2 linked regions of the Cricetulus griseus genome follow. The protein of the gene in region 2 purifies or fractionates together with the protein of the main gene of each other region. This does not show direct contact. Links are inferred from orthologs where the notes say so. Each region holds a gene or a part of one and is shown on either strand. Other genes may lie near its edges.

Evidence for each region. The genes of interacting proteins can lie anywhere in the genome.
Region 1: the proteins of Cul5 (region 2) and Asb1 purify together in Homo sapiens (affinity purification with mass spectrometry; 6 studies listed by BioGRID and IntAct, counting the BioPlex papers as one, with this or other methods). This does not show direct contact. The link is inferred for Cricetulus griseus from reciprocal best matches to the Homo sapiens genes CUL5 and ASB1.

Annotation. Positions count from the first base shown.
Region 1 is NC_048595.1:443,055,833-443,062,100, forward strand, and holds the start of Asb1 (ankyrin repeat and SOCS box protein 1), read left to right. Parts: upstream 1-2,468; 5' UTR 2,469-2,720; coding exon 2,721-2,769; intron 2,770-2,826; exon of another isoform or gene 2,827-3,476; intron 3,477-3,487; exon of another isoform or gene 3,488-5,258; coding exon 5,259-5,322; intron 5,323-6,268. UniProt on the Homo sapiens protein: Probable substrate-recognition component of a SCF-like ECS (Elongin-Cullin-SOCS-box protein) E3 ligase complex which mediates the ubiquitination and subsequent proteasomal degradation of target proteins.
Region 2 is NC_048597.1:165,335,149-165,340,617, forward strand, and holds part of Cul5 (cullin-5), read right to left. Parts: intron 5,216-5,469; coding exon 5,092-5,215; intron 4,693-5,091; coding exon 4,517-4,692; intron 3,839-4,516; coding exon 3,677-3,838; intron 2,813-3,676; coding exon 2,694-2,812; intron 2,151-2,693; coding exon 2,027-2,150; intron 1,826-2,026; coding exon 1,631-1,825; 3' UTR 1-1,630. UniProt on the Homo sapiens protein: Core component of multiple cullin-5-RING E3 ubiquitin-protein ligase complexes (ECS complexes, also named CRL5 complexes), which mediate the ubiquitination and subsequent proteasomal degradation of target proteins.

The DNA of each region.
Region 1 (6,268 bases), on a different chromosome or scaffold from region 2:
TCTCTCTCTCTCTCTCTCTCTCACACACACACACACACACACACACACACCTTAAAACAAAACAAAAAGTACGCAAAAAAAAAATACAGTCCAGAATCTCTTTTAAAAAATTTGTACTGGGTCAGTGGCTTTAATCCCAGCACTTGGAAGGCAGAGGCAGGCTGATCTCTGTGAGTTCAAGGCTGGCCTGGTCTACACAATGAGTTCCATAACAGCCAGAGCTACATAGTGTGACCCTGTCTTGAAACCATTTTAACCTTTTTAAAGTTATGACTATGAGTAAACACAATATAATCAACCCCAACATTTTCATCTTTCCAGGCTGATACTGTTCCCATTAAAACACTAACTTCTGGGGCTGGAGAGATGACTCAGTGGTGGAGCAGAGCTCAGTTCCCAGCACCAGTTCACAACTGTCTGTAAGTCCAGCTCCAGGCTATCTAATAATTCCCTCCCCTGGCCTCCCAGGGAACCTGCACACTCATGATGCTCACAGCATGCACACATACATTAAATAAATATAAAAACAGGTATGGTGGTGCACTCTCCCAGGACCTGGGAAGCAGAGGCAGGTGGATCTCTGAGTTCAATGTAAGGCTGGTCTGCATAGTGAGTTCCAGGCCAGCCAAGGGCTACCTAGAAAGACCCTGTCTCCACCCCAAATCTTTACTCACTTCCTGTTCCTCCTGAGGTAGGATAGAAAGGAAAATTATGGGGTTGTGAGAGGGAAGAGGTGCCCCTCACCCAGGAATTTGGTGGAAGCCTCTTGCCTACAGAGAAGCAGGGATGCTGGTTCAATTACTACTCAAGGCCATCACCCTTCCCCAGCTATACCGCTGCATTTTTTCAGGACTCTCAGCAGAAACTTCCTTGACAGGAAAAGGACCAGTACAAAATTGTACAAAATTTCTTATGCAACCATTGGTTCTGGTTTTACCTTATCAGATTATAATTCCCTCTGAAGCCACCCCCCCCCCACACACACCCCAACACACTCTGGGCAACCGTTTGAGAGCTAAGTTGAAAGCTATCAAAATGGTGCACACAGCTAGTGCTAAGATTGTGAGTCCCGTGAGGAGCTACACTGGGTATGTTTTCTTAGTTCTCTCTTCTAAGCCTTGTGGTTAAAGTCTATGTTAAATTTTCTTTAATAAAACCCTCAAATTTGCTTTTACTAGTGCTAAAATTCTTGTCTGAGGCAAAGCCATGAATCCAGTTTGCCCTGAGTCTTTTTGCAGTCTCTAAGAGAATTCTCTGGCTAGGGTGACAGCATGGGGTTTTATCTCTGTCCCCTCACCTTGGACACTCCCTCTTCTGGCAACAACCTGGTATCCATTATTCCACTCTGTTTCTATGAAGTGATTCCTTTAGTGACGTCCTGAGTGGAGGATTTGTCTTTCACAGGTGGCTTATTTCACTGAGCACAGTGTCCTCCAGAATTGTCCGTGCTGCAGCCTGGGATGGAGACTTTTTAAGGCTGTGTGGACGGCCCACAGCGCCACATTTTGATGCGTGTTTATCCGTCTATGCACACCTGGGTGGTTTTACACTTGAGGCATCCCAGCTAGGGATTCTGCAGCTGTGGAGTAGAGCCATGAAGCCCCTGGCTCTTTGCCTTGCAGCGTCATTAGTGTCACCTGTCCCTCATGCCAGCAGTGCTCTCTGCTGTTATCAAACCCAAACACCACGGCTGGAATCTCTTCTCTTTCCCCTCAACACCCTCAATGCCCGTGGCTGTTCCCGCTTGTCCCACCCAGCTCCACAGACCTGTGCAACCGAGCCAGTCGGGGCACGAGGATATGCTGGGTACCTATGGGTTGTTAGCTCTCAGCTGGTGTGCCATGACCACACAAAGATGCAGGCAAGTCACAGCCACCGTGTTGGGGACTGCGGCCTCGCCCCCACCTCACCGGACGGCGGGGAGCTTCTGTCTCCTTAAGGCGCAGCCTCCCCGGCTCACTGGGGTCCTTCCTCCCCTGCAAGGCACTTTCCCTAAGTCGCGAGAGAGGGAATGGAAGGACCCGGCGGCGTCCGTGCTTAGGAGCTGCTCGGGACGCGATGCACACGGTGTGACCCGTGTAAAATCGGGAGTTCTTGACGTCACTCGGTGCGCACGCCTTGCCAGGCTACAAACACTGCGGGCTCCATGGAGGCATTCTGGGCTGCGTTCAACTAACACCACTTTGCAAGTCAGCGACTGGGAAGGACGGGCGGCACCACACCGACCGTCCGGAGCCGCGCGGCAACCACAAGCGGCGCGGCCCGCGTTCCTAGACGACCTTCAGCGGCCGCGGGAGGGAGGCCGGGGACAGCGGGCTGGGCCCTAAGCGGTCACGCCCACGTCCCGCCTTTTTCGTGGGCGGGGACAGAACCTGCCAATCAGGGGCTCCGGGGCATGCAAATTAGCCTCCGCCCCCAGGGGAGAGGCGTTTCCCCAGACTCGCCGCGCCCTTGGTAGACGCCGCTACTCAGTTTTGCCTTCCTCACGGATCGGCTCTCGAGTCCGTTAGCTAGGCCGGAAGTGGGGACCCAAGCGTCCTGCGGGCAGAGCCGGAAGTGCGATAGGGAGGCGCATACTGGCCGGAAGCCGAGCTCCGGGCACGCCCCCCTGCCGGAAGCGCCTGAGGTATCTCTCAGGCCCGGTTGCTCTTCGACAGAGTCGCTGCGGAGGCGGCCGGTCGGGCGGCGGGGTCGGGGCGGCGGCTGAGGGCCGAGTCGGCATGGCGGAGGGCGGGAGCCCCGAGGGGCGGGCCGGCCCCGGGCCCGCAGGTAACGTGAGCGGCGTGGTGTGGTGTGTGTGTGTGTGGTGGGGGGCGGGGTGGCGGGAAGGCGGGGCTGCGACTCGGGTTCAGTCAGGGTGGCTCTCGGGCATCCCGGGGCCCTCGTCCTCCGTCCCCGCCGGCCAGGTTCGCGGAGGTTCGCGGAGCCGCCCTCGGGGTCAGTAAGTGGGCGTCAGGCTTCGCGGGGCCCAGGGCGCGACCTCCGCCCTCGGCCTCTCGTGGACAGCCCTCCGCGGTCCCCACCCCCACCACCCCCACCCCCGGCGGAGTTACCAGGCCAGGTGCAGCCGCCTTGTAACTGCCACCGTGTTAGCCGATCCCCGTTAGTCTGCGATGACCCCCGCTGTGACATGGGGCACGGATCCTCTTCCCGGTCTGAGCACACTGGTCAGAGGTCGGGCCTCGGTAGGGCACGCTCCTTTTCCTCATCCCGTCCCGCCAGTCAGCGCATGGCCGAGCCGGTGCATCGCAGCCACTGGACACCCCCTCCTCCCCTTTTGACTGCCATGCTGTCCCCAGCGAGCTTGCCAGTGAGTGACACAGCGCTTACGCCGGCCCTTGACCCACCTTCAGAGAAAGGCTGACACTTGCCATCTGGCTTAGCATCTCCCACTTTGCCGTGCTGCTACTGTGACACTGAGAATTTCCAGGTACGAAGTCCCACATTGGGGTCTTTCTGAGACTGCCACGTGTGTGGTAAGTAACTTGCTGTGTGCATCTCTGGAGAGGGCACTTGTTTTGTTCAGCGAACTCTCTTAGTTGTCAAAAATCTCAGAAGGTCACCCAAACAACGGCCTTGTCATTCCTCCCTCCATCTAGTCAACTATTGATGGTCTACTGTTGGCTTGGCTCACTTGAGGCTGTGAGGGTGACCTGAAAAGGCTAGATAAAGCCTCTACCACCAAGAACTTTGGTTGGCATTGACTTTGGTCTGAGGGACAAACAAAATTTTTGAGTGGACTGCCCTGTCATGCAGGAGTGAGAGATAGGAGAGAGGTGGGGAAAAGATAGCTATTTCTTAGTAAACAAGGGCCCTGGGGAAGAAACAGTGATTTTGGTCCCCTCCAGTCTACTTTTCAGTACCTGTTTGTTAGTGTGTTTCCAGCTTGTGGGTGGAGGGGCAGGTCTTGAGTGCTACCTTGGGTTCTGAAGGGTTCATGACAGACTAGGACTGGCTAACAAGGTGGCAGTTACAAGGCCGGCACCACCTGGGGGAAAAAAAAAAGGCTGAAGCATTGAAGAGAGGTGAGCAAAGGGAGGTCCAAAGACTTGACCAAGTCCTTGGTGCCCACTTTCCTGACAGTTATCCCACACATCTGAATCTTCCCCAACTGTGGCCTTGGGTTTTTATACTGGTAAATTTTATATATTGGCAACTGCAGTATACTTAACAATGGAGGAGGACCTGGACGGAGCCTTTAAGAGTGGTTTCCAGGCTTGATGTCCGCCTGTTGATCTGCGGCACATCTGGTTGTGGGATCAGGGAGCCACATAAGGTGTTTTTGAACCTTGTGCTGCCGTTAGCCTTGTTGTCTTGGACTTTCAGATTCTGGAGGGCTAGGATACTTACTCATCACCACACTGGGACTTGAAGCAGGGACTTGAAGGATATTTTATTTGAATATGGAAACAACTTCAACATCTAGAAAAAGCCTGCCTTCGAAGGGATCCTCACAGGGTGGGAGACTTGTATCTCAGCAGTTAGAATTTGTGCTGTTTTTATAACACCTGTTGGTGCAATTTTTTATAAAACTTTTCAGTCTCCTGGAGTTAAGTTTGGGCTGTGATATGAGCAAAGATGCAAGTGTTTCCAAGCAGGTGATTAATTGTACAAATAATCTCGATTAACTACATTTCTCTTTGATGCCTGTTTTTTGTTGTTCTTGTTTGGTTTTTGTTGTCGTTGTTCTTCAGTTTGGTGAGAATTTTGTTATCTAACATGATAGAGTTTTTTTTGGTTTTATTTTTTACCCCATTATTCTTTTGTTGTTTGTTTTTTTTTTGTTTTTCAAAACAGGGTTTCTTTGGCTGTCCTGGAACTAGCCTTGCACTCACAGAGATCCACCTGCCTCTGCCTCAAGTTCTGGGATTAAAGGTGTATACCACCACTGCCTGGCCCATTATTCTTACTAACACAAAGAGCAATTCTCCCTTATGTAAATGCACAAATAAAATTTGAAATTTTTTGTTATATTTTGTATCAAATTTCTGAAGAGGCTGGCTACATTTTATTTATGGGTAACCTTGAGAATTTCTCTAATATTGAATCTTCTTCTAGTACATGGTATGTATGGTTTTTCTATTTAGTCCTCTTTATTTTTTGTTACACAGGCTGGATTTGTATTTATGCATAAATTTTTTTAGTTTTCTACTTTACTGAGGTACAATTTTTTTTTTCGGTGTGTGAACATGTGTATGTAGAGGTCAGAGGTCAACATTTAATGTTATCCTCATTCTCCACCTTATTTTTGAAACAAGGTCTCTCACTGCACATGGAACCTACAGATTTGGATCTAGCTAGATTGGCTACCAGCCAGCCCAGGTATCCACAACCCAAGGGAGCCTCCTGTCTCTGCCTCCCCTACCCCCAATAGAACTAGAGGCATGTGCAACTAGTCTTGGCTTTTTATATGAGAGTTGGGAATCTGAGCTTAAGGGCTCATGTTTTCGTGACAAGTACTGCCAATTGAGATATCTCACTAGCCTCTTGAAGTGTGATTTTAATACAAAATGTATGCCTTTGAGATTTATTTCCTGTTATTTCATTTCCATTGCTACAATAAAAATACCTGAAAAAATACTATAAAGAAAAGAGATTTATTTAGTTCAGCCTTAGAGGCTGAATATCATGGTGCAGGTTCTCATGTAAGCCTTACCTATGGTACCTTAAAACAGACAGCAGTGGGGGAGCTGTGATCTCCTGATATCCAGGAAGCCAGAGACTAGGAGGGCTGGTCTCATGCTCTTATAATAACCGTCTGATAAGAACTAGCCAGGATTCCAGGAGAAATTCTTTAGTCCTGCAGGAAGACACTTTGCCCTGACACTGTGGCCCAGTGTGATGCCATACTGGTTAAAGGGCTTTGCTGTCTCCCAACACTACCATACTGGGACCATACTTCTAACACATGGACTCTGTGGATACAGTAGTACTCTGCTGAATTGTTTCTTATCGAGACACCCTGCTGCTATTTCTCGGAGCAGCATGGTAGGGAGCTCACCTACCTTCCAGGTAGCAACTGTTGTTTGGCCCTAGGCTTTGGCTAACCAGCTGTCTTTGTAGTAAAGGAGATGGCTGCCATTCTCCTTTCAGATACCCCAATTCAGAGACGCTCTTACATACTTGCAATAAATTAGAGTAATTACATGCTAGATTTTTTTTGGCATAATATTTTAAATTGTAATTTGGTAGTACTTTATTTAGGTTCTTCTATGTTATAAAGTACTATTGACTTATTGTTCCATTGTTCCCCAGTCCATCACATTTT
Region 2 (5,469 bases):
GTGAGCACACATGCACTTCCAACTTCCTATGAGTTTCCCAACAGATATTTGACTATAAGAAAAACTTTAAATGTCTGACATGTATTTCCCTTCCTTCCAGGAAGGGGCTCACAGCTGCTGAGGCTGCAGGCAGGTCCACAGCCCACTGTGGTGATATAATACTGTATGCTTCTCAACACTCCATTTTCTGTTAATTTCAAAGCCATACTTCAAAATATTACTTAACATCAAAGATTATAAAACAATTTGCAAGAAAACTTGAAATGTGCACCACAATGAGTAAAAATACACATGGAGCCATTTTTCCTGATGGGGAATCATTCTCTCTTCAGTTGCTCAAGCCCTCAATTTCTAAATTCCTACTGCATTGTGAAGTCCTGAGTCACTGCTCCGGATTAACTGAGAGAGCAAGCTAAGTGTTGCCCTCTGAACATTTTAAAAATGCTTATTTTTAAAATATATAAATATATATATACATATTTGGCAAGGTTACTACTCATGTTACGGCCAACAACTCTGAAAGCTTCTCAGATCTCAGGCTGTAATCTCATCTCTCTTCCTCCTAGGTGACAGGGAATTATTATTTTAACAAAAAATGTCTTTCAAGAAAACTGAGGTGGTAAATCCCTAATCACAACATTTTCAAAACACCAAATAATTCTATGCTACAGGTTTAGAAAGCAATTCTCTCATTGTACTGTATCAGAGTATTTTTCTGCATTGTTTTCAATAAATTTTGACATGGCATAATAAATATTAAGTGTATATGAATTAAGTGTATTAGTAACACACTTAACACGTTTGCTTTGTGATTCTGATTCTGCAATCAATGACTTACCTATACCCATAAATTTAACAACCGAAGCAACATTCATTATAAACTTCATGTTTTCAAAACAAGCTCTCCAACGATACAAGACTTATAAAGGAAACCCCAAATCCTTACCATTTAACAACAAACAACTAAAACAGCAGTCTCCTGCTTAACGACAATCAGGATTTGTAAGGTAGAAATATTTAATACCATTTTCAGGTCATCATCAAAATCCAGTTATTAAACTAAAAGCAGTGTTTAACAAACAACTTGATACTATGGCATCCTCATCTTCTCAAGTACACCTGCCCTTTCCCAATATGGTGTTGACAACTTCACTCTTTTCATTAAAAGAAGCTAAGAGTGCTACCTCTACCTTTAATTGCATTTAAAAAAAAAAAAAGATAACAGCATTTTTCAGTGCATGAATATCTGAGCATCCTTCCTTGTGCAAGTATATTCCTTTAAAGAGGAGAAGGGGGTAAAAGAAGCAACAAGAACCCCACCCTCACCCTTCCAAAATGTTATTTCTCTTGGTGGGTAAAAATTGAACTGACTTTGAAGTTCATAATGGGCTCTTCATGAATGCAATTTTCTCCACAAAACAGCATGCTGTTAAGAGTGTGCAACATGAAGGGAATGCCATCATGCTAACTAATGTGACTGGCAAAATATAGTCGTTTGTAAGGTAAGGCAGAGAGTTTAATATTTATGTAATCAAAGTCCAAATAAACCTTCCTCCAGCTCAAACCGGGACAACTTTCTGCCCAGGGGCTCCAGAATCTATCTGTGCTTCAACAGTGGCACAGTGCTCAGCTACGCCATGTAGATGAACGTGTTGATGTCGGCCTCATCTCTCCTGATGTACTTGTGCTCTATCAGCCACTCGATTTGCTCTTTTATCATTTTCTTCTGTGGTAAGAACATGTTTTTCAAAATCTCTACTAACTCAGTCTGCAGTTGAGCATTGCTAATTTTCTTTCTCATTTTCATTATTTGTATGATGGCTTCCTAAGAGAAAAATGAAAACAGAAAGTACATTAATATATTACACTTGTCTGATCAAAGCAAATCAGTAACTTTTCCTACATTATCTTCTAACACCAACCAAATTGCACAGCAACTCCTAGGTATTCACACAACTACTATTACAAAGATGTGAAAAGTTAAAAAAAGCCAAAAAATTTAGACATTCTTTCTCCCTATACAAACCTGGGTTCTTAATATTCTTAGCTGAACTATCCCTTCATTTTCTTCTTCTCTCATTCTTTCTGTAGTGAGCTGCAAACGTCCAATCAAATTGATTTTTCCCCTTTTCTGAACTTTTGCATTTTTTCTGCAAAAAAAAAATTGAAAGTTTTGAACATCTTATTACAGCATCATGTCAGAAGTTAGAACTGTTCTAAAAATAAGATGTAGTGCTGCTTAAAGGGTAAGTAACAACCAGGATACACAGCTTCCCTTTCAGCAATCCCCACCCTTGTTATGGGGGGACTTGTCTACAATTACCTGTAATCCTAGCACTTGAAAAGCTGAGGCAACAACCTATTTCAAGCAAAAATTTAAACAGTCCTTTGATTCCTTCAAACAAGATATACGGCCTCTGCTGACCATTAACTGCATTCTTTAACAAACTACAAACTACCTGACTAAGGCTTCAGATAAACAGCTCTGCTGGATAAGGCTGTTCTATTCCACGCACTCAACATTCTGGTCTCAAATATTTTTTAAATAAAAAAAAATGAAATGATACAAAACTAGTGATAATACTCAGTTACTATTTTTGACATTACATAAAGCAAATGATTATTTTAACAAAAATCAAAGCATTAAAATTCAGCATAGTACATTTCTTTTAAATCAACAATGTGAATCTTACATTAGGCTGAACTCCTGGTTCACAGAGAAGAGGGTCCCTTCTGTGAAGTCTTTGGGTGAGTTGACTTGAGGTTCGTATAACAAAACTTGGCGTTTGAGCTTGGGAAAAGCTACTAAAGACTATGAGGAAAAAAAATCAGCATAGTAAATTATACAGAGTGTTAGGAACAAGTCTACAATACAGGCAAGAATCGACTTGTAGAGAAATTAACAATCCAAACTTTTATGTGAACAACACGCACATGACAAAGTAAATGCCTAATGAAAAGAGCTGGTTCTGAAAAAAGAGACATATGTTCTTTTACTTCATGTAGTGAGACAAGCACTGGTTGGTCATATAGGACCTGAGGAACTGTCTGCCAGGACAGTCATGTAGTTGCCTCCATTGCTAACAGTTTATTCTGGAATCTGAGTTACAGGGTAAGCACTAAATGCAATTATAATCAAGACTATCATGAGCACACTTTACAAACATTCATAACTTTGGTTGGACTCCTTAAACACACTTAATACCAACTCAATCTCTCCCTCTTCTCTTTCTCTGGTCCTTTTCTACTTTGGTAATTTGCTTTTCTTTTTTCTTGATTCATAAATTCCTCAACACTGTGCATTTTTTAGTTGAAAGTCATATTCAGAGTATCATGAATTAAAAACTTTACAAGGAAAAAAGAAAGAAAGCCATGGAATAAAGTCCTAGCACTTGGGAGGCAGAGGCAGGCTGAGTTAAGGAAAACCTGGTCTACAAACTGAGTTACAGGATAGTTAACACTACAAACAAACATTGTCTCAAATGCTCCCAAACATGCCCCCCCCCAAATTTTACAGTGGCTTAGGTATGTAGTTCAGTGGTAGAATGCATGTGTACAAGGGTCCTGAATTTAACTCTCAGCACCAAAATTCTAGTTTTACAAGCCATTTACTTATTCTCAACTATGTGACATGACACTATTTTAAAAACAAAATCGAATAAAAGATAAAACAAACCCATAAAGTTCTTCTAAGTTCGGCATCAGGGAGTTCTGTTGCAAGTTTTAGATTTTCAAAGCTGATTTTCTCTCTGGGCCTTTGGTTCCATGCAAACAACACAGCCAACTGAAACGTGGTTACTTCCAAGTCATACTGACCTACTTCATTCTTAAATGTTATCTGTAATAGACAATGGGATTTAATAAGGAATTCATTTCTTCATGAAGCTTACTCCGGTATCTAGTAAAATGTGCATGAGGTACTAATGGGAAAATTAGATTGCTAGTTTTTTTTCCATGACCCATTTCTCCCTCCTTATAGGTAATAATCTTAGACCTATAATGCATCTCCCAGCTTTCCCTGTAGTGAAGTATAGTCATGTGACTTCATTCTGTCCAATGTGTTTGATGTAGAAATAATGAGGAAGATGTTTATCAGTTGCCTTAAAGGAAGGTTCACCTTCTCCTTTCCCTTCCTTTTTTCATGAGTCAGGGTTGGTGATCAGATTGGATTCTACTGTCAAGGTCATTGGTTTGGTAAGCATTTACTAAAACTTGGAAACTATGTCCCTAAAAGTAGGGACAGAGCCACTATTTTCTGTTCTAATCCTAATCTATACTAATTTTTACTTTTATTTTGTATGTGAGGATGTTTTGCTTGCATATATGCCTATACTGCACATATGTGCAGCAACTGTAGAGTTCTAAAGAGGAATTGGAGGTAGAGACTGTTTTGAGTCACTGGGACTTGAACCTAGGTCTTCTGGAAAAGCATCAGTGTTCTTAGCCACCGAGTCACCCCTCCAGCCCTCAGGCAACTCTTTGTACCAGCACCCAAATTGGTAGCCCATCTACTTACAATTCCATTTGACATGAGATGGTGCCAATGTAATTTTCTACCACTATGATTTTTTTTGTAAAATTCTTCTACCTCAGGTATCAAGTCCTCCAGTTCAGTAGGAAGTGAGACAAACACTTTCTCAGAGCTTCTAGACCAGGCGCCAGCATTCAGAATCTTTATATTAACTGAATCAGCTGCAGGTAAGAAAATCAGAATTTATAAATATTTTGACAAGTTAAATTTTACAGAAAATAAACAAGGGCCAGGTAATGGTGGCAGCAGCACATGCCTTTAATCCCAGAACTTGGGAGCACTATTTGAGTTTGAGGCTAGCCTACTCTACAGAGCAAGTTGCCACGACAGGCTCCAAAGCTACACAAAGAAACCTTGTCTCAAAAAACAAAAACAAAAAAAGGAAGGAAGGAAGGAAGGAAGGAAGGAAGGAAGGAAGGAAGGAAGGAAGGAAGGTGAAACTTTTGTTAAAAGGGACTTTTTGTGTGAATTTTGTAAAAATCTTTGATATTTACTTTAAATAATTGAAAAACTATTTTTTTAAGTTTAAAAATACACTTCTATTTAATTATAGATAATACCTGGTAATGCCAACTTATTATTTTTGTGCATTTCCTTAAAAGCTTGGTTCAAGTCTTCAGATACTTTTATGTCCTGAAACATTCTGGCAAGCTTGTTCACATAATCTGCTGGCATACCAACTTCCTACAAAAATCAAAGACAGACATAATAATTACACAATCTGACATAGTAATAGGACAAAAACCTTTCATTTCATGTGCATTGGTGTTTTGCTTGCATGTATGTCTGTGTGAGGGTGTCAAATCCCCTGGAACTGATGTTAAACAGTTGTGAGCTGCCATGTGGGTGCTGGGAATTGAAACTGGGCCTTCTAGAAGAACAGCTACTGAACCATCTTTCCAGACCCAGGGAAAAAAGAATCTTAGAAAATTATTTTG